2 linked regions of the Ovis aries genome follow. The protein of the gene in region 1 interacts with the protein of each later gene in a pairwise test. Links are inferred from orthologs where the notes say so. Each region holds a gene or a part of one and is shown on either strand. Other genes may lie near its edges. The genes, in order: SRF and ELK4.

Evidence for each region.
Region 2: the proteins of SRF (region 1) and ELK4 interact in a two-hybrid assay, tested with the Homo sapiens proteins (2 studies listed by BioGRID and IntAct). The link is inferred for Ovis aries from reciprocal best matches to the Homo sapiens genes SRF and ELK4.

Annotation. Positions count from the first base shown.
Region 1 is NC_056073.1:16,772,710-16,781,060, forward strand, and holds the end of SRF (serum response factor), read left to right. Parts: intron 1-750; coding exon 751-1,012; intron 1,013-1,577; coding exon 1,578-1,697; intron 1,698-2,734; coding exon 2,735-2,926; intron 2,927-3,266; coding exon 3,267-3,343; intron 3,344-3,568; coding exon 3,569-3,664; 3' UTR 3,665-5,985; downstream 5,986-8,351. UniProt on the Homo sapiens protein: SRF is a transcription factor that binds to the serum response element (SRE), a short sequence of dyad symmetry located 300 bp to the 5' of the site of transcription initiation of some genes (such as FOS).
Region 2 is NC_056065.1:3,245,756-3,254,810, forward strand, and holds the start of ELK4 (ETS domain-containing protein Elk-4), read right to left. Parts: upstream 5,562-9,055; 5' UTR 5,392-5,561; intron 5,101-5,391; exon of another isoform or gene 3,541-5,100; intron 1-3,540. UniProt on the Homo sapiens protein: Involved in both transcriptional activation and repression. Interaction with SIRT7 leads to recruitment and stabilization of SIRT7 at promoters, followed by deacetylation of histone H3 at 'Lys-18' (H3K18Ac) and subsequent transcription repression.

The sequences.
Region 1 (8,351 bases):
CGCCAGCTGTCTCCCTGCTGGGGGCGGGGGCGTTGTTTAGCCCTGCCCTCCTGGCTGACTGGGTCGCCCAGGAATAGGAAGGGAGCACTTATGGGTTCCAGGGTCCTGGGAAGCCAGCACTGTCAGCAGGCCGGCTGATTGGCTACGCTGGAGACTACCTTACTAGCCAGCCGCCTGCCTCTTCAGGATGTCCGGGCCTGCGCACGTTAGGGAGTGTATTCACTCGACTGTTAGGGATGCCGGCCCTGGTTACGCCTCCCCCTTCCTTTTCCCGGTAAGGAGAGAGGGCGGGGCTTCCTCCTCTTACTGCTCTCGGGAGCTCCACCTTCCGGGTGGCCCTTCACGAACTGGCCAATCGGAGGAAGCGGCACTGTTTGCCTTAGCAACGCCTCCGCCAATCAGAGGCTTCGAGCTCCACTGCTTAGCCAACGTCCGGCGCTGACCCACCTCCAGGATCTGAGCCCCACTCAGTTCTCTGGGCTTGGTTCTCAGCTCGTGGCTTTCTCCTTCTTCTTCTAAGAACAAAGGTTTCCTGAGGGGAGAGTCCGCGTTCTAAACTCCTCAATATTTTAGTGGTAGGGTTAGTTTATTCCCAGGACATTTTGTTGAATGTATGAAGTCTTTGGTGCTTCATTGCCAGACCCCTCAAGATCGCTCTCAAACCCTAAGTTCCCTGAAAAACTGAGAAATCTATCTCAGAAGCAGGATCTGGGGGAGGCTCACCACTCCATCTTTACTCTGGGTGTGTAGGATACACTGAAGCCGGCGTTTACCGTCACCAACCTGCCGGGTACCACCTCCACCATCCAGACAGCACCCAGCACCTCTACCACCATGCAAGTCAGCAGTGGCCCCTCCTTTCCCATCACCAACTACCTGGCACCAGTGTCTGCTAGCGTCAGCCCCAGTGCTGTCAGCAGTGCCAACGGGACTGTGCTGAAGAGTACAGGCAGCGGCCCCGTTTCTTCTGGAGGCCTCATGCAGCTGCCTACCAGCTTCACCCTTATGCCCGGTGAGTCGCAAGAGGCAAACTGAGCATTCTAAGAGTGGGTTTAGGGCTGGTGCAAGGAGAATGTCTTTTCTTACTCAGAAGGAGGAAGGACAGGGGCCAGAGCCTGAGAGAAGCCTCTTATGTCCCATTGGTAGGCATGCCCCTCCCCCTTGGGACTTGAACTGTCCTTGTCAGTAAATTTCCACCATATACTCTGGCCTTGCCTAGCAAGCCCAGCCCTGTGCCCCTACTGCCACAGGGACAGGAGACATTCTACCACTTCCCTGCCTTGACTGGAAGGCAGATTGTGTCCTTGATGGATGGGTGCCTGCTCCTGTGTCAACCAGAGAGTGTAGAGGCAGGGTCTGGGGCAGGGGAAAGAGGGAAGGGCAAGAACAGAGTATGGAAGCCCCTGGAGATAAGATTCTGGACCTCAGGGGCCTCTTTGGCTCTCAGGAAGGATAGTGATGGGAGTTGGGGATAGAATGGCAGCCCCTGGGCCTGGGGGTGTTTGAGGGAGCTTGGTGAAGGTGGTGGTGGTGGTGGTGGGTAGGACAGAGCACGAGTAAGTCTCTGTGTCTTCTAGGTGGGGCAGTGGCCCAGCAGGTCCCAGTGCAGGCCATTCAGGTGCACCAGGCCCCACAGCAAGCGTCTCCCTCTCGCGACAGCAGCACAGACCTCACGCAGACCTCCTCCAGCGGGACAGGTATTGCTTGAAACTCTGTCACCTCCCTGCCCTGCCTCATTCATGAGACCTAGCAGCAGGTGCCCAGGATTATCCATCCTGTAACTAAGGTCAGCAAATTTCTTAATGTGGAGACTGAGGCTTTTGGGTTAACCCTTTCCCTAATCCTTATGAGAAAGGCAGGTGAGGATGGCTAGTTTTGAATCCTGCCCTGCAGTGGGGCTGTGGATTTCAGGAAGAAATTGGGGACCATTGAGGCCACTCTTCTTCTCACTCAGGTGAAAAGCCTGAGGCCCTGAAAGAAGTTCCTTTCCTATAGACACACATTTGCTCAACTGCCAGGAAGGATTTACAGAGCAGTTGTCTCCTTGTGGGAGGATATCCTAGCTTTTGAGTAATCATAAGTCCCTTCCATGTCTCTAGTCATTTTAGAAATGATCAGACACTTCCAAAATAAAATTGCTTTGAAGTTCTTGTTAATCACAACCCTGTTACACAAAGTTTGGTCTGTGGAAGGAGGACCAGCATCACCTGGGAGCTTGATAGAAATGCAGACTCTCAAGCCTCACCCCAAACCTACTGAATCAGAATCTGCACTTTTAACAAGATCCCCCGGTGATTGTACGCACATCAACATTGGAGAAGTGCTTGTTTTAAAGCTGGTTATCAGCTGCATGTTGAGGAAGAGGGAGGAGGAGTAAGAATAGATGTGAAATGGGGTGGAGCCTCTCTCTCAGAGAAGAGGATCTGAGTTTCCTTGGCTTGGGTCAGTCATTGTAATCTTTGTTTTTCCCAGGGCCTTGGGGTCTTGGAACAAAGCAGATAGATAATCGAATAGAACGCTGTGATAGGATACATTGAAAGGTTGGTGTGGTTGTGTTCAAGAAAAAAATAAGGCTTTTCTCAGTCGATGACAGGGAACAGAGAAGGAGCTTTGTCTAGGTTTCGACCTGGGAAATGGCAGGAGGGCTCTGGAGGCCTGGAGTTCCTGGGGATGGGATGGGAGCTCTCAGTCAGCACCAGTGCCAACCTCCCTGACGTGTGTCTGTGTTTGCCAGTGACGTTGCCTGCCACCATCATGACGTCATCTGTGCCCACAACTGTGGGCGGCCACATGATGTACCCCAGCCCCCATGCGGTGATGTATGCGCCCACCTCGGGCCTGGCTGATGGCAGCCTCACTGTGCTCAATGCCTTCTCCCAGGCGCCATCCACCATGCAGGTGTCCCACAGCCAGGTCCAGGAGCAAGGTGAGTCAGGGGCAGGGCTGCAGAAAGGAGGACCATTTCCTCCCTCACACACACAGACACGCACACACACACTCACATGCCTCCCCTCAACTCATATGCACACACACATACCCAAACCAGATGCTCACACACATACCTATATGTATACACACACAGATGCTTCCACATGCACTCGAACACCCACACTCACATGCACACTTGACACATTTGGGCACTCACCCTTGGGCATTTACATCTGAGACTCACCCAGTCAACTTGTGCACTTATCATCACACCTCCAAAATCTGGAAGTTTCTCTTGAGCAAGTGATTTGAGTCTCTCCTGTGGTTATCTCATGCAGGTGGCGTCCCCCAGGTGTTCCTCACAGCACCATCTGGGACAGTGCAGATCCCCGTTTCTGCAGTTCAGCTTCACCAGGTAGGTGAGGGCACCTTCCATTCCAGCCAGCCAGCCTCTTCTTTATCTTGACTTGGGGGATTTCATTACTAGGTGGTCCAAGCCAAGATCCTTAGCCGGGAGGCCTGTCCGTTTTCCTGGTCAGGCCTGGGTGGTGGGCAGGTGGGCAGGCAGGCAGGGGGCAGCCTGAGCTGGCCAGTCAGTTCCAGACCCCCACCTCCTCCTTACATACCCCCTTCCCTTCAGATGGCTGTGATAGGGCAGCAGGCCGGGAGCAGCAGCAACCTCACCGAATTACAGGTGGTGAACCTGGATGCCGCCCACAGCACCAAGAGTGACTGATCCGCCCTGCCGCCCTGGACAGATGGCCCAAGGGACGGCACCACTTATTTATTGTTGCCTTTTCACGTTTTCTTTACACACATGTTGATGGGCCGCAGGAGGGAGGCGGGGAGGAGCGTGGGCAGCCACAGGACTGAGCCCTCTCACTCCAGCCAAAGAAATGGGCCAGCCTGCCCTCCACCCCGGCCTCCCGACCCCCCCCCCCAGCTCCGCCTCCCATTTCTGTTGCCGGTGGGGCTGCCCTCCCTCCTCAGACTCCCCTTGCCAGCTTGGCTCCATGTTTTCCATGAGTATTAGCTTACCCGATGGGACCGTGCCCCCCACCACCATCACACACACAGTTCTCTGTGGGACTAGGCACTGTGTCCCCCTGAGGAAGCAGCCGGTGCCGGTGCCGGGGGTGGGGGGGGGGTTGCCCTCTCTCCAGTCTCCTTGCTGACCCCACATCAGCACTGTGTTTGCCACAGGCTGGGTCAAAAGAGCCTGCCCCCTGCCCCTCAGGGAGCCAGCTGGGGAGATGGGGCTTCTTCCCTCAAGCCGGGTCTGTGGCCCCTACAGCTCCTGAGCAGCGGGGCCTGTGCTCCAGCACAGCAGATTCCCAGGGCGACCTGCCCTGCCCTGCCGCTCCCTTCGGAACTCCAGGGGCTGCTGGCTTGGAGGGAACCACCCGTGTTCCCCTGTCTTCCCCCCTCTCCTCCCAGCTGCTTTACTTAAAGTTGATTTTGAACTTTTTATTTGAGGAGACGAAGTGAAAACAAATCTATAAATATATATTTTTAAAATATTTAACTTTTTTTTATGGCGTTTTTCTCGTCCCCCTCCCTGCCCAAGCTCCCCTTCCCTGGGGAGCCCTGAGGCTCCCCGGAACTGGCTGGGCCTCTGGGGACAGAGCCACCCCATGAGCTTGGGGCTCGCCAGTGTGGGGGGGGAGATTGCCCGGTCCTGGGTTGTTTCCAGGAGAAAACCGGGGGAGGGGCCCTCAGGCCATGCCCCAACGGGGTGGGGAGGGTGACCCACAGCTCTGGGCCTCTTTTTGCCCTTCAGAGCTGTTGCTAGGGAGAGGGAAGAGGGAGACCAAATGTGGGTGGGGGGTGGGAGGGTGTCAGAGGCAACTGACTTCATTTGTGCCACATGCATGGGCATTGCAGCCTTGCGCGCCCCCAGGCCTGCAGCTGCCTGGGGCCCAAGTTGCAGTGAGCAGGGTGGGGTCTGGGAGGGGGCGAGAGGCAGGATTGGGGGGCAGAAGAAATGGGAGCAGCTCTTGGGCTGAGTGTGGGGTTAGGGGAGCCAGAAATGGCAGCTCTCCCAGGGAGTGAGCAGCTACTGTAACTTTTTAAAATTAAGACAAAAAGCCTTGAAGAAAATGACTTTATTTTTCTAAGTGTAACCTCAGTATTTATGTAATTTGTACAGGGGCCGTGCCCCACCCCCTCTGCCCCCTTTGGGGTAGATCTTGAGGGTGGGCCAACATGGCAGAGGGTCTTTTACCCTGTGTCAGAGCCTACCTTCACCACCTGTATCAGAGAGGGAGCTTTTTCAGAACAGGGCAGTGGGGGGGTGGGTGGAGTTTTATTAACCCCTTAGGTCTGCCTTGAGTAGAAACAAGCCTGCTTCTGTGATTAGGTGAAGGGGTGGGGGAAGTTTATACATACAGCCTAATTATCATGGGGACGATTTGCCGACATGTTTGAGAACCTCCGGACCTCTAACCCCCTTTGCTGTCTTGCCCCAGTTTGGGGTGCCAAGATGGAAGCCATCTTTCTGGCTTTCTCCAGAAGATAGCAGGGGACTTATGGGTGGCTTATGGATTGGGGCATGGCAAATCAGGGGTCAGAGAGTGGGGGAGCTTGGGACTCAGGTCTGCAACTGCCCAGCCCCTTTTCTCTACTCTTTGTTTTCACTCCACCATCACTCACTCACTCCCCTCTCCCTCACGCTGGGGAGGAGACCTTGATGAATTCCTCCTCTCCTTCCCACAAAAGACAGACCCAGTGAGTGAATCAGGCAAAGTGCTTATAATGTGTGTTGTGTGAGCGTGGCCTTGGGAGAACATGCGTGCGTCAAGGATGAGGTGGCATTTTTACATGCAGCGACCCTTGGTGTTTCCCTTCCTTGGTGGCTCTGGGGTGTGTATGTGTGTGTGCGCGTGTGCCCGAGTGAATGTGTGTGTGCGAATGTGGGGTGTGTATGTTAGTGGTTTCTACTTCCCCTGGGATGCTGACCCAGGAATAGTGGACATGGTCACAGTCCTATGTACAGAGCTTTCTTTTGTATTAAGAAAAAAATACTCTTTCAATAAATGTATCATTTTTGTGCACAGACTGTGGGGTCTTTGCCTTTGTTTTACCGTATTGGAGGGTGGGAGGTATGAACACAAACGTGCTGAGAAACAAGCACGTTCTTGTTGAATGAAACGCAAAGGGGTGCTTTGGGCTGTTGAACTCTACTGATTTGACTTAAGGAACACATCAGGGGTGATGGTTAGGGGCCTTTATCGTCAGCCCCAGCTGTGCTAGGTACTTAGTCAACACGGAGAGAAGCAATTTTACTATTAGGGAAAAGAACGCAACCAATCCAAAGCCTCGGGTATGGGAAACTCACGGCCACGTGACCTAAAGCAAACTAAGAGGACAGCCCTAGGATGGGAGTGTGCGTTTCGGTGGGAGACGAAGAAGGCAGACCCAGCAAAGGGCAAGGAGGGCTTCAAAGCCGATATTGGAACGGAAAGGGCGGCCTACGCCTGCGGAAAAACGGGCCTCGCTACCACGACCCCGAAGCTCCGCGGGCAGCGCGCCCCCAGACGCGAGTAGCACGCATGCTCCGCTGGCGCACGGTGCCGCCGCCGCGCTCGGCTGTGGGCCGCGGTGGGACCCGTAGCCGCCCGGCCGTGCGCGCACTGGCGGCGTGACCCGGAAGGGAGCCGCGGAGGAGGCGGGGCCAGCACTGCGGGACCGGCGCCGGGCCCCAGCGAGGGCCGAGCCGGGAGCCGGGAGGTGGGAGGTGAGAGGAGAGCTCTGCGTCCTCCCCGCCCCTGCCCCGTCCCTTCCCCGGTTCCTTGCCCACTCTCCGTGGCGCTGACGACAGGAGCCAGGTCTTGCCGAGATTCGCTTGGTCCAGTCGGTCCGGTCAGCCTCCTCCGACCGCGCCCCCCCCACCTCTTCCGCCCCCCAAGCCTGTTCTCGCGGCGGTGCGGGCCTCCCGCGCCGCCCTTGCTGGCTTGCAAGCTCGGGCCTGACTTGCCACCTACGCCTACCTGCTGTCTCATCCCCGCAACCAAGACCTCGCCTCCGCATCTCAGTTCATTGCTCCTGTTCTCCAGCCCTTCCTCTCCCCCCATTTAGGCTTTTCCGATTGTGTTACTTCATCCCGCTCATCAGTTGTCCATCGCACATCACTTGGTTACCTGCCTGTCTTGCCCTCCCTCCAATCCCCCGCATGCTATCCGGACCCCTACCCCCTTCGAGAGCCACATCCGTCTTTCCCCTCCTCTGCACGCCTTTCTTCTACTCTCATCCTCTATCCCTGTACCCCAACATGACCCCTGCTCTGATCACCATTTCTTCGTTTGGGTTTGCTGTCCGTTCTTATCCTCACCATTCCCTGTTTCCCCCCCACTGCTTCATATCTTTCCCTGATCACTAACATAGCCGTCACTCCGCACCTACTTATAATCTTATTCTGACACCTACTTATAATCTTATTCTGACACATTAGCGTTCTACTTACCTGGGGACGGCTCCTACCTTCTCCCTCGCTAAGAATAGTAGTATTAGATTCTGTTTACTGAGCACTCTGGCTGTATGATAGAGGCTGTTCTGAATGCTTTATATATGTGATCTTAGTAAGTGTTTATGACAATTTTGTAAATTGGGTTTAAATATTATTATCTTGCAGAGGAGAAAACTGAGGCTTAGAGATTGACTTGTCCAAAAGTATGCATATAAGAAGTGAAGGAGCCAGAATTCAGAGTCCCATTTATCTGAATCTGTACTGTATTGCCTCTCTTAATACCTCTACTGTCTCCTGACCTCATTCCCTACCCTTCAACTCCATGATTATTACCTCCATCTAGATCTACTTAACTTAGATCCTTACCATACATACAGCATAAGGGCAGGGTGGGACTTGGTTTTTTTCCTCCCATAATTTTATTTGGATCCCTAGTCCCCTCTCCCTTTCCCAGTGTTCTCATACCTTTTTGTCATCCGGTCATCTGCCTCCTTTAGTCTCTCTTCTTAATATCTGCCATGACCCACCCCTTTATACCCACATTCCCGCTTTAATCTGTCATTTATGCTCCCTGTCTTGCCCCTTCCCCATCCTGACTTTCCTGACTTGTTCTGACCCCACTATCTCACAGGCTACTGTCCTACCTGCTCACCCATGTCATCCTTCTAAGTCCTGATCTGTACCCCTCAGCCACCCTCCTGTTCTGCCCAAATTGTCCTGATTAACCATCAGCTCTTTTTCTTATCTTGCTTTCTTCCTTGTAATTTCTTCCATTTCGGAAACCTTTTCATTTCCTTCTATCACTGTTTTTCACTCTGTTCTCCTTGTTACAAATCCCAAAGTGTGTTTAGGTTATTTATTCCATCCTATCCTTGGCCTTTTCTCTTTGGCCTCCAAATTCCATGCAGCCTACCAGTCACCCCTCACCCTGTATGCACCTCAAGTTTCCACCCCCTTC
Region 2 (9,055 bases), on another chromosome or scaffold:
GGGTGGCCCAGAGATAGGAGGAATAGTTTCCATTATAATAAATGTAATTTTCATGTAAGTTGACAGCACTGAAAACTCAGCAAAATGTTCCCTAATTTACAAGTTCTGCCACCATTCTGTCCGCAGGAAGTCCACCTGCCCAGATCCTTTTATTTGATTAGCAACCTTTATTTGATTATCAAGATTGGAACTGAAAAACCTTTCAATATCTCAAGTTTTAAGATCTTCCTGTTTAGGCCAGTGTTTCTTAAATTCAGCACTATTGATATTTTGAGCCAGATAATTCTTTTGTTCTTGGAGGCTGTTCTGGCATTGCAGTTTAACATCCCTGGCCTCTACCAACCAGATGCCACCAACACCTCCTGCCCAATTTGGCAATCAAAATGTCTACACACATTGTCAAACATTCTGGGGGACAGTATCATCTCAGTTAATAACCACTGGTTTAGGCAATGGAGCAGCAGGGAAAGGTTCTCTCAAAGGTTTTTCCTCAAAAAAACTTTAAAACATCTTGTTTCTAAGAAAGAAATCTTAGGGTGGAAACTCTGGCCAAACATACATAAGCACATCCTAAAATGTCTATAGGAGAACTTTACACATACACAAAGCCTTCCTGTTTTCAGTCTGTGAATTAGATCTCACTGGATCAGAACAGAAATTAAATCAAATCAATTCTGTTAAAATACTATAAAAACAGATAAATTGGACAACAGCAAAAATTAAAACTTCTGTGCTGCAAACAATACCATCAAATGAGAAGACAATCCTTGGAATGGAAGAAAGCATTTTCAACTAATAAGGCTCCTTCATCAAAAAAAAAAAAAATAGAGTCCTTACAATTTAAAAAAATTGAAAATAAGCAAAGGATTTGAAAAGACATTTCTCCAAAGAGTAATATGGGTAGCCAATAAAGCACATAAAAAGATGCTCAATGTGACTAGTTATTAGGGGAATAAAGATCAAAACCACACAAGACACTGCTTCACACCTACTAGGATGGCTATGATCAAAAAGGCAGGTGATGGACCTCCTGGCGGTTAGGAATCTGCCTGCCAATGCAGGGGACGTGGGTTCGATCCCCGAAGACTCCACATGCTGTGCGCCATAACACTGAGCCCATGCCCCACAACAAGAGAAGTCACCGCAATGAGAAGCCCAGACACCACAGCTAGAGAGAGCTCGAGCACAGCAGGGAAGACCCAGCGCAGCCAAACAGAAAGGACAGACGATAAGTATCAGCTAAAACGTGGAGAAAAGTGAAACCTTCATACACTGCCAACAGGAATGTAAACTGGTACAGCCACTTTGGAAAAAGGTTGCAGCAGTTCCCCAGAGTTAGCATATGACCCAGTAATTACACTCCTAGGTATATATCCCAGAGAAATGAAAAATATATGTCCACACAGACATTTATAAGCAGGATGTTCAGAGTGGTATTCATAATATCCAAAAAAGTATAAACTACCCAGATGTCCATCAACTGATGAGCAGACAAGCAAAATGTACCCTTTCCCTTCTCCAGGGGATCTTCCCAACCCAGGGATTGAACCCAGGTCTCCCACATTGCAGGCAGATTCTTTACCAGCTGAGCCACAAGAGAAGCCCAAGAATACTGCAGTGGGTAGCCTGTCCCTTCTCCAGCAGATCTTTCTGACCCAGGAATTGAACCAGGGTCTCCTGCATTGCAGGCAAATTCTTTACCAACTGAGCTATCAGGAAAGCCTCCATATAACCACAGAGTGGAATATCAGCCAGAAGAAGGAATGAAGTAGTGATATGGGCTAGTTCAATGGATGAACCTTGGAAACATTAGGCTAAGTGAGAGAAGCCAGCCATTAATTTGAATAGGCAAAAAAAGCAGACTGGTGGTTGCTTAGGGCTGGGAATGGGGGATGGGTGTGGAAAAGAAAAGGGGAGTGACTGTTAATGGGGTGATGAAAACATTCTAAATTTAGGTTACGGTAGTGGCCATACAACTCTGGGAATATACTAAAAGCAATGAACTGTACACTTCAGGTGAATTTTACTCTATGTGAAATATATCTCAATAAAAATGTTAAAAATAAACACCCCAAACAACACAAAAGTTAGGCCTGAGAAACCTAACTCTAATAATGTACAACTCACAAAGAACGGGATCCTTAACTATGTCTGCTTCCAAAAAGACCAGAGATGAGGAACCATATTGGTAAATATCTCATAATTTTTCTGAGACATTCAAAATGTCCTATTATTCAGTCATAAATTTGAAGCTGGTTATACAGAGATACTGTCATCCAAAAGTAGAGATGAGAAAATACCTAAGAATAGAAAAAGGGAGATGCCTCCCAAAGTTAGAGAGTTACAGAGAAACTGCGGCCACGAATCCAAGTCTCTTTCATCACAGTCATGTACTCTGTCCCTGAGGGAAACCACTTTCCTAGATGGGTAAGAGCATTCACATTACCTAGGATTGTAAAGAAGTATTACATTGTTAGATAATAACTGACAATAACGTACAAATATGAAGTACTACTTTAATGCTAAATAACCATGTTCACTAGAAAACAGCTTTCCAGGGCCTCACTTAAGCTGGGTTAAAACAGTGGTTTTATACTATATCCATCAAGTATAGTTGAGGGGGATGGGTCCCCTGTTATTTCTCTTAATTTACCAGAGAGGCTTTTCTTCTAGTGCTGACTGTCATGGTAAGTTACTTTTAAACTATGTATGTTCCCCACTTAAACAATTATTTGTTAGTCTAAATCTGTTACAACTATTCCCTAGTAAATTTCAGCTTAACCAAAGAACTCAAGTCTTTACATTTCCAGACACCATCTTCAGGTTAAGAATGCTTACAGCAGTGTGAGTATGTGTGAGAGAGACGATGATGGTGACGATGCTGAAGCTAGGAGGAAGGGAGGAGGGAAACGACAGACAAGCAGAGAACTGGAAAACAGGTCTGGTGCCTATAATTTCATTTATTTTTGGAAAAATTCCCCAAACCAAATCCTAGAGTTCTATGCCTATCTTGCAGATAATGCTTGAGCTCTACAGGTTTATAATGGCGAAGCAATACGTACAAAACGACAGATATAACCATGAGTATTTCCGCAACAAGCACACAAGAGTCATCCTGAGCAAATGGGAAGTGTTCCCAAGGTGGTGTGGGTTTAATTTCCACCTCTCCCTTCGGTTATTAGGGGAAAGTGTGGATTGAGCTTGAGTAAGTTCCGGGAGTTGGTGATGGACAGGGAAGCCGGGCATGCTGCAGTCCATGGGGTTGCAAAGAGTCAGACACGACTGAGCTGAACTCAACTGTGGACTGAGCCAAATCCTGGTGGAGCTGTTGGATACTGCATGGCAGAACCTAACTGTGTGGCAAACGCTGAAGCTTCTGTAGTGCTTTACAGTGTGTCTAGGATAGAAAATTATTGTGAAGAAAAAAATGGGCACTGCGGTTTTGGACTGAAGTACTGGAAAAAATTTTTTTCTATTAGGAAAAACTAAGGAAGACGTAAAATGGACATCCTCAGCAGGTACTTTAAAGGAATATTTTACTCATTCAACGTTGATATGTTTCTTTGATTGAAAAGGCGGTGAACCACTGGGCACATAAGCTGAACCTCTTCATTTGAGTTCCTGAAAGTGTGCCATTGATATGAAATTCAATGATTTCTTCAGCCGTAAAAGAGAATTAAAGTAAAAAAAAGTCAGAAATTACTTAAAATTACAAAGGTGAAATAAAGAGACACAAATAATTTAACACTTTTATTCTTACTCTTATCAAAAGAAACCCAAATCCTTTTTCTTGAAAACCCTTTCATGAAAACCTCAGTGTTTCCACAACTACAGTTTTCCCCCAAAATTTCAGTTTTAAAGAGTTTTTTAGAAGTAGTATAATGAGGGAGAGAAATACTTAACTGATCCAAATGAAGGAATCTGATTTTTGAGGGGTTAAATATGGAAAACATAATTGATTCTAACACTTAAAGTGGAGAAGGAAATGGCAACCCACTCCAGTGTTCTTGCCTGGAGAATTTCATGGGCAGAGGAGCTTGGTGGGCCACAGTCCATGGGGTCACAAAGAGTCTGACAGGACTGAGCGGCTAACACTAACACACTCACACTTAAAAGACAGTAGATTAATTCCTGTGCTAAAAGGAAAGAAGGCGCATATTGGAAGTAACTCATTAGGGAAAGGAAGTCTCTACTAAATGAAACCTTTTCCACCCTAAACATGTTTATCATACACACAGCCCAGTTGCTGTGGTGACCCATGGCCCAACTATTTTTCAGAAACAGTAGCTAAGACCCAAAAAATAAATGTCTCCATATTCAGAGTGCTGCTTAAGTAAAATAGAAACAAATTATAAAATGTATTAAGGCGAATTTTAAGTTAAAATCTTTACAGCTGTCAAAAAGTAACCTGGCGTATCTAACTATACAGTATTCCATACCAACAGAACACTAAAAGTGTACTATTATAATAAAACTTTAAAACAACATTTCCCTAAATGGATTCCCCTTGGGCAGTTTTTAACGTTTAAATAAAATCAAAGAGGGTTACTGAGGAGGAAAACTGAATCACAATAGGTTTTAAAGAAAATACCACTGACAGTCTTAAATACTGAAGCACCAAGTTTTCCACGCAGTGGGACGGTGAGTGGAAGATGGCAAAAGAAAAGGAAGAAGGATCTTATTCACCAACCACAGAGATGGGTGAACCGTTCTGATGAGGGATGAAACTCTGAAGTCTTTTTCTTTAAATGCCCTAAACTTCAAATACCAATAGCCTGGTTGGGGGGGTGGGAGTGGGAGCCAACTGTGTATCTCTTAACTATCTCGGTCAACAAGGTCCCTGCCCAGGTCAGTTAACCTTCGGCCCCCAAAAGATGTTTCCAACTGGTTTTCCCAAGAAGGAAGCCTCGCGGCAGCTGTGTACTAACCGGAAAGTAACGAGGGGAGAGGGTTGGCTGGAAAGAAGTAGAAAACACACTGAAAGTCGACGCCGGATGGGTTCTGAGCGTGGGGAGAGGAAGAAACGCGGAAGACCGCGTACCCCGGGGAGATCAAAGTCCGGGCCCGGGAGAGCACCGACTCGCTGCGCTTTCACTTTCCAACTTCCTGTCACTACAGAAAGCCAGAGACGCTCCCCTCGGGCCCTCCCCTCCGCCACCCCGGCGAAAAGAGAAAAGAATAAAAAAAAAACAGCCACCTTTGGCCCCAGGGGCCTCGCGGGACCAAATAAGGGGCGAAGGGAGCGAGGCGGGTCTGTCCCGCGCCCACCGGCCCGCCAGCGGGGCCCCCGGGCGCGCGCCCCGCGCCCGCTTCCCGAGGGGCGGCCAGCCCCCCGCCCCGGCGCCCCGCCGGCGGGGGCGGCGGCCGCGGGACGCGGACGCGGACGCTCACCGAGGCCGCGCGCGGGGCTCCCTCCGGGTCTCCGCCTCCAACAAGACGCTCTTCTCCTCACGCCGGGAACTCGAGGACGGCGCGGCAGCCGCTGCGACCCTCGCGGCGGAGCCGGAGAAGGCGCCGGCGGCCGAGCCGAGCCCGCCGGGTGCCCGCAGCCGCCCGCATCTCCCGCCGCCGCCGCCGCCGCGGCTCGTCGCGCCCCGCCCTCCCCGCCCCCGCACGCGGCGGCGGCGCGGGTCGTCAGGGCCGCTACCCGCCGGGCACGCGCGATCTGGGCGTTCCTCGCCGCGGCTGAGCCTGCCACTCGCTCCGCGGCCGCCGCCTCTCTCGAGCCCCCCCGGCTGCGTCGGGGGCCCCTCCCGGCCGCCCGAGCCGCTGCGCGTCACTTCCGGGGGCGGGAAGGGCGCGGCCGGCCGCTGAGGGGCGCTACCGGCGGCCGCCGACTGCGTCCGCGGGGTGCCGGATGAGGGGCGCGGGCGTGAGGGAAGCCGCCCCCTGGGCTTCCCCGCGTTGCTCTCTCCGCCGGACCGCTAGCGGCTTCTGCTCCCTGAGGCGCGCGGTCCGAGCCCGCACGCCAGGGCTGCCGCTTGGGTCAGGACTTCGGAGGCCTCGGTGTCTGCCCCGCCCTGGGGAAGGGGTGGCGCTCACCGAGTGGCTTCCAGGGGGCCGCGCGTGTCGTCGCGAAGCTTGAGTGTGAGGGCTTTCTCCCTCCAGGCCGCCCGTCCTGCCTTGTTGGCAGGGTGGACGGAGAGGTCGGAACCGCCGCAGCTGGCTCGTGGAAGTGCCAGGCCCCAGGGCGCTGTGAACAGCGGATAGACGTTCAGTCAGCCCTGTGGCTCTCTCGCCCCGGGGCTGACAAAGGGGAGCGCTGGTCGAGTGGGGAAAGCTCGTTCTGGCGTTGGAGTCGGAGACCTGGAATCCGGCCGTGGCTCTGCCTCTCACGAGCTCGCCAATCTTTAAGAACTTTCTTTACCTCCCCAAACAATTTCATCATATGGAAAATGGAGAGAACCCAAGTATAATCACCTCGCGGAGTGTCTAGCCCATCAGTTCAGTTCAGTCGCTCAGTCGTGTCCGACTCTGCTCATTAAACACAGTTCTTAAGGAACCAGGTCACACTTGGTACAACTACTTGAACAGTATAGAGGCGGAAGGTGTAGAGAGACTGCTGAACAAAAACCTCCAAGAAATATACTGTGTATCCCACTTAACAGGAAAGCAACAACAAGCCAGTCCAGTGTCCAGCTACTAGCTTTGAGTCCCTTCACCTCTCTGAACTTCAGTCCCCTCATATAAGGTGAAGATCATGTACAGCACTGCTGAGAAGATAAAGTATGAATAAATGATGGTGCCATTTGTAAAAAATGCATTTATTGGGCTGTGCCAGGTCTTAGCACACAGAATCTTTAGTTGCAGCCTGTGGGATCTAGTTCCCTGACCAGGATGCATCCTGGCCCCCTGCATTGAAAGTACAGAATTTCAGCACCTGGACCAGCAGGGAAGTCCTGATGTCATTTATGTTTGCCTCCTCAGCTCCACAGTTGATTTCTCTGCTGCGGCACAGAGAAGCTTGCAGGATCTTAGCTCCCCAACCAGGGATTGAACACTGGCCACAGCAGTGAAAGCAGGAGTCCTAACTACTGGACTGCCAGGGAATTCCTCATGGTAAAATTAGTTGAGCTCAGTGAAATGTGATCCTCTCAGGGAACTCTATTTAATACTCTGGAATGACCTACATGCTGCTGCTGCTGCTGCTGCTGCTAAGTCGCTTCAGTCGTGTCTGACTCTGTGCGACCCCCTAGACAGGCAGCCCACCAGGCTCCCCTGTCCCTGGGATTCTCCAGGCAAGAACACTGGAGTGGGTTGCCATTTCCTTCTCCAATGCATGAAAGTGAAAAGTGAAAGTGAAGTCGCTCAGTCGTGTCTTAGCGACCCATGAACTGCAGCCTACCAGGCTCCTCTGTCCACGGGATTTTCCAGGCAAGAGTACTGGAGTGGGGTGCCATCGCCTTCTCCAGGAATGACCTACATGGGAGAAGGTTAAAAAACAGTGAAGTGAAAGTCGCTGACTCGTGTCTGACTTTTTGTGACCCCATGGACTTATACAGTCCAGAATACTGGAGTGGGTAGCCTTTCCCTTCTCCAAGGGATCTTCCCAACCCATGGGATCAAACCAGGGTCTCCTGCAATGTGGGCGGATTCTTTACCAACTGAGCTATGAGAGAAACCCTAAAAAAGAGTGGATGTGTGTATAACTGATCTACTTCGCTGTACAGTACAAACTAACAACATTGTATATCAAGTATCCTCCAATAAAAATTAATTTTAAAAAGCTATCAGAAAATACTATGAATAATTTTATGAAGATATATATGAAAACTTAGTTGAAAAAGTTCCTAGAAAAATTATGGATTTAAAAGGAAGGAAGGAAGAAATATGATCTTACTATCCCTTTGAAGCCTTTTGGAAGAGAATCATCACTTACTTTGATTTCCAACCTCCTCCACCATAATACAGAGTGATTATAATGCACAAAGCTATTCATGGAAAAGCAACAACACCTAAAGATGTTAGGCTTTAAAAAATAATTTTACCACATATTTTCATAAAGAAATGTGTTCTGCAGGGCTTCCCTGATAGTGCAGTTGGTAAAGAAATGTATTCTACAAATGAACCTATCTATGAAACAGAAACAAAATCAGGGACTTAGAGCATAGAATGGTGGTTGCCAAGGGGTGGGAGTTTGGGACTATGAAAAAGAATGTAAATATATGTGTACTGAGTCACTTTGCTGCACAGCAGTAATTAACACCATACCATAATCCAAGTAAACTTCAATAAAAAATTAAAAGAAATATATGTTTTGTGAGACTGACATACTGCCTACTGTGCTAAGGAGGCCACTAAGAAATGTGTTTTAAAAGGAGCATCCAACACCTGAAAAGAACTAGGGCTCCTGGGCCCTACAAGATTTTTCCTTACAACAACTTCCATTTTAGAAACCAAGAGGGAAAAAGAAGAATTCTTAAAGTAGACTATTTAAGGTACACCCATTGGAAACATTAGGTTATGGGAAGGTTTCATTTTGAAGCCCCATACCAAGAATAGTTAAGGGCTGTAGAAGCTCCTTGGCAGATTACCCTGCTGTGCCCAAACTAGCAGGAAACTTCACATTCAGCCTCAGGGTCTTAGTTGTATCATAACCCTGTAGACTGAGCTGCCAGTGTTGTCAATTGCTGTGTATTTTTGGAAAAGAGCCTACTTTGGGAGTTCTTAAATTAGTCATAGCAAGTCTGTCTGCTTTTAAATTGACTGGATATTTTGTTTGTTTGTTTCAACACAGTATATGCTGACAGCAGAGAAACTAGAAGAAAAATGGATTTCAGAGTAATGAATTTTTTAAAAAGTTTATTAATATGCCTGTTTTTCCCATGCAGGATTCTATAAATACATAATCTCTCTCCATGGTTCCTTACACAACAGATGGTTCTGTTTTTGAAAACTCCATGGTGGTTATGTTGGTCAACCAAAAAGACTGTGCTTTTTTGTTATCTTGTTTGTCATTTTCCCACCAGATAGATGGATTCTCATTCTTAACTACTCAGGGCTATCTCACATATAATTTGCAGATTTTATACAGTGTTTAAACACGTGTTTCTGC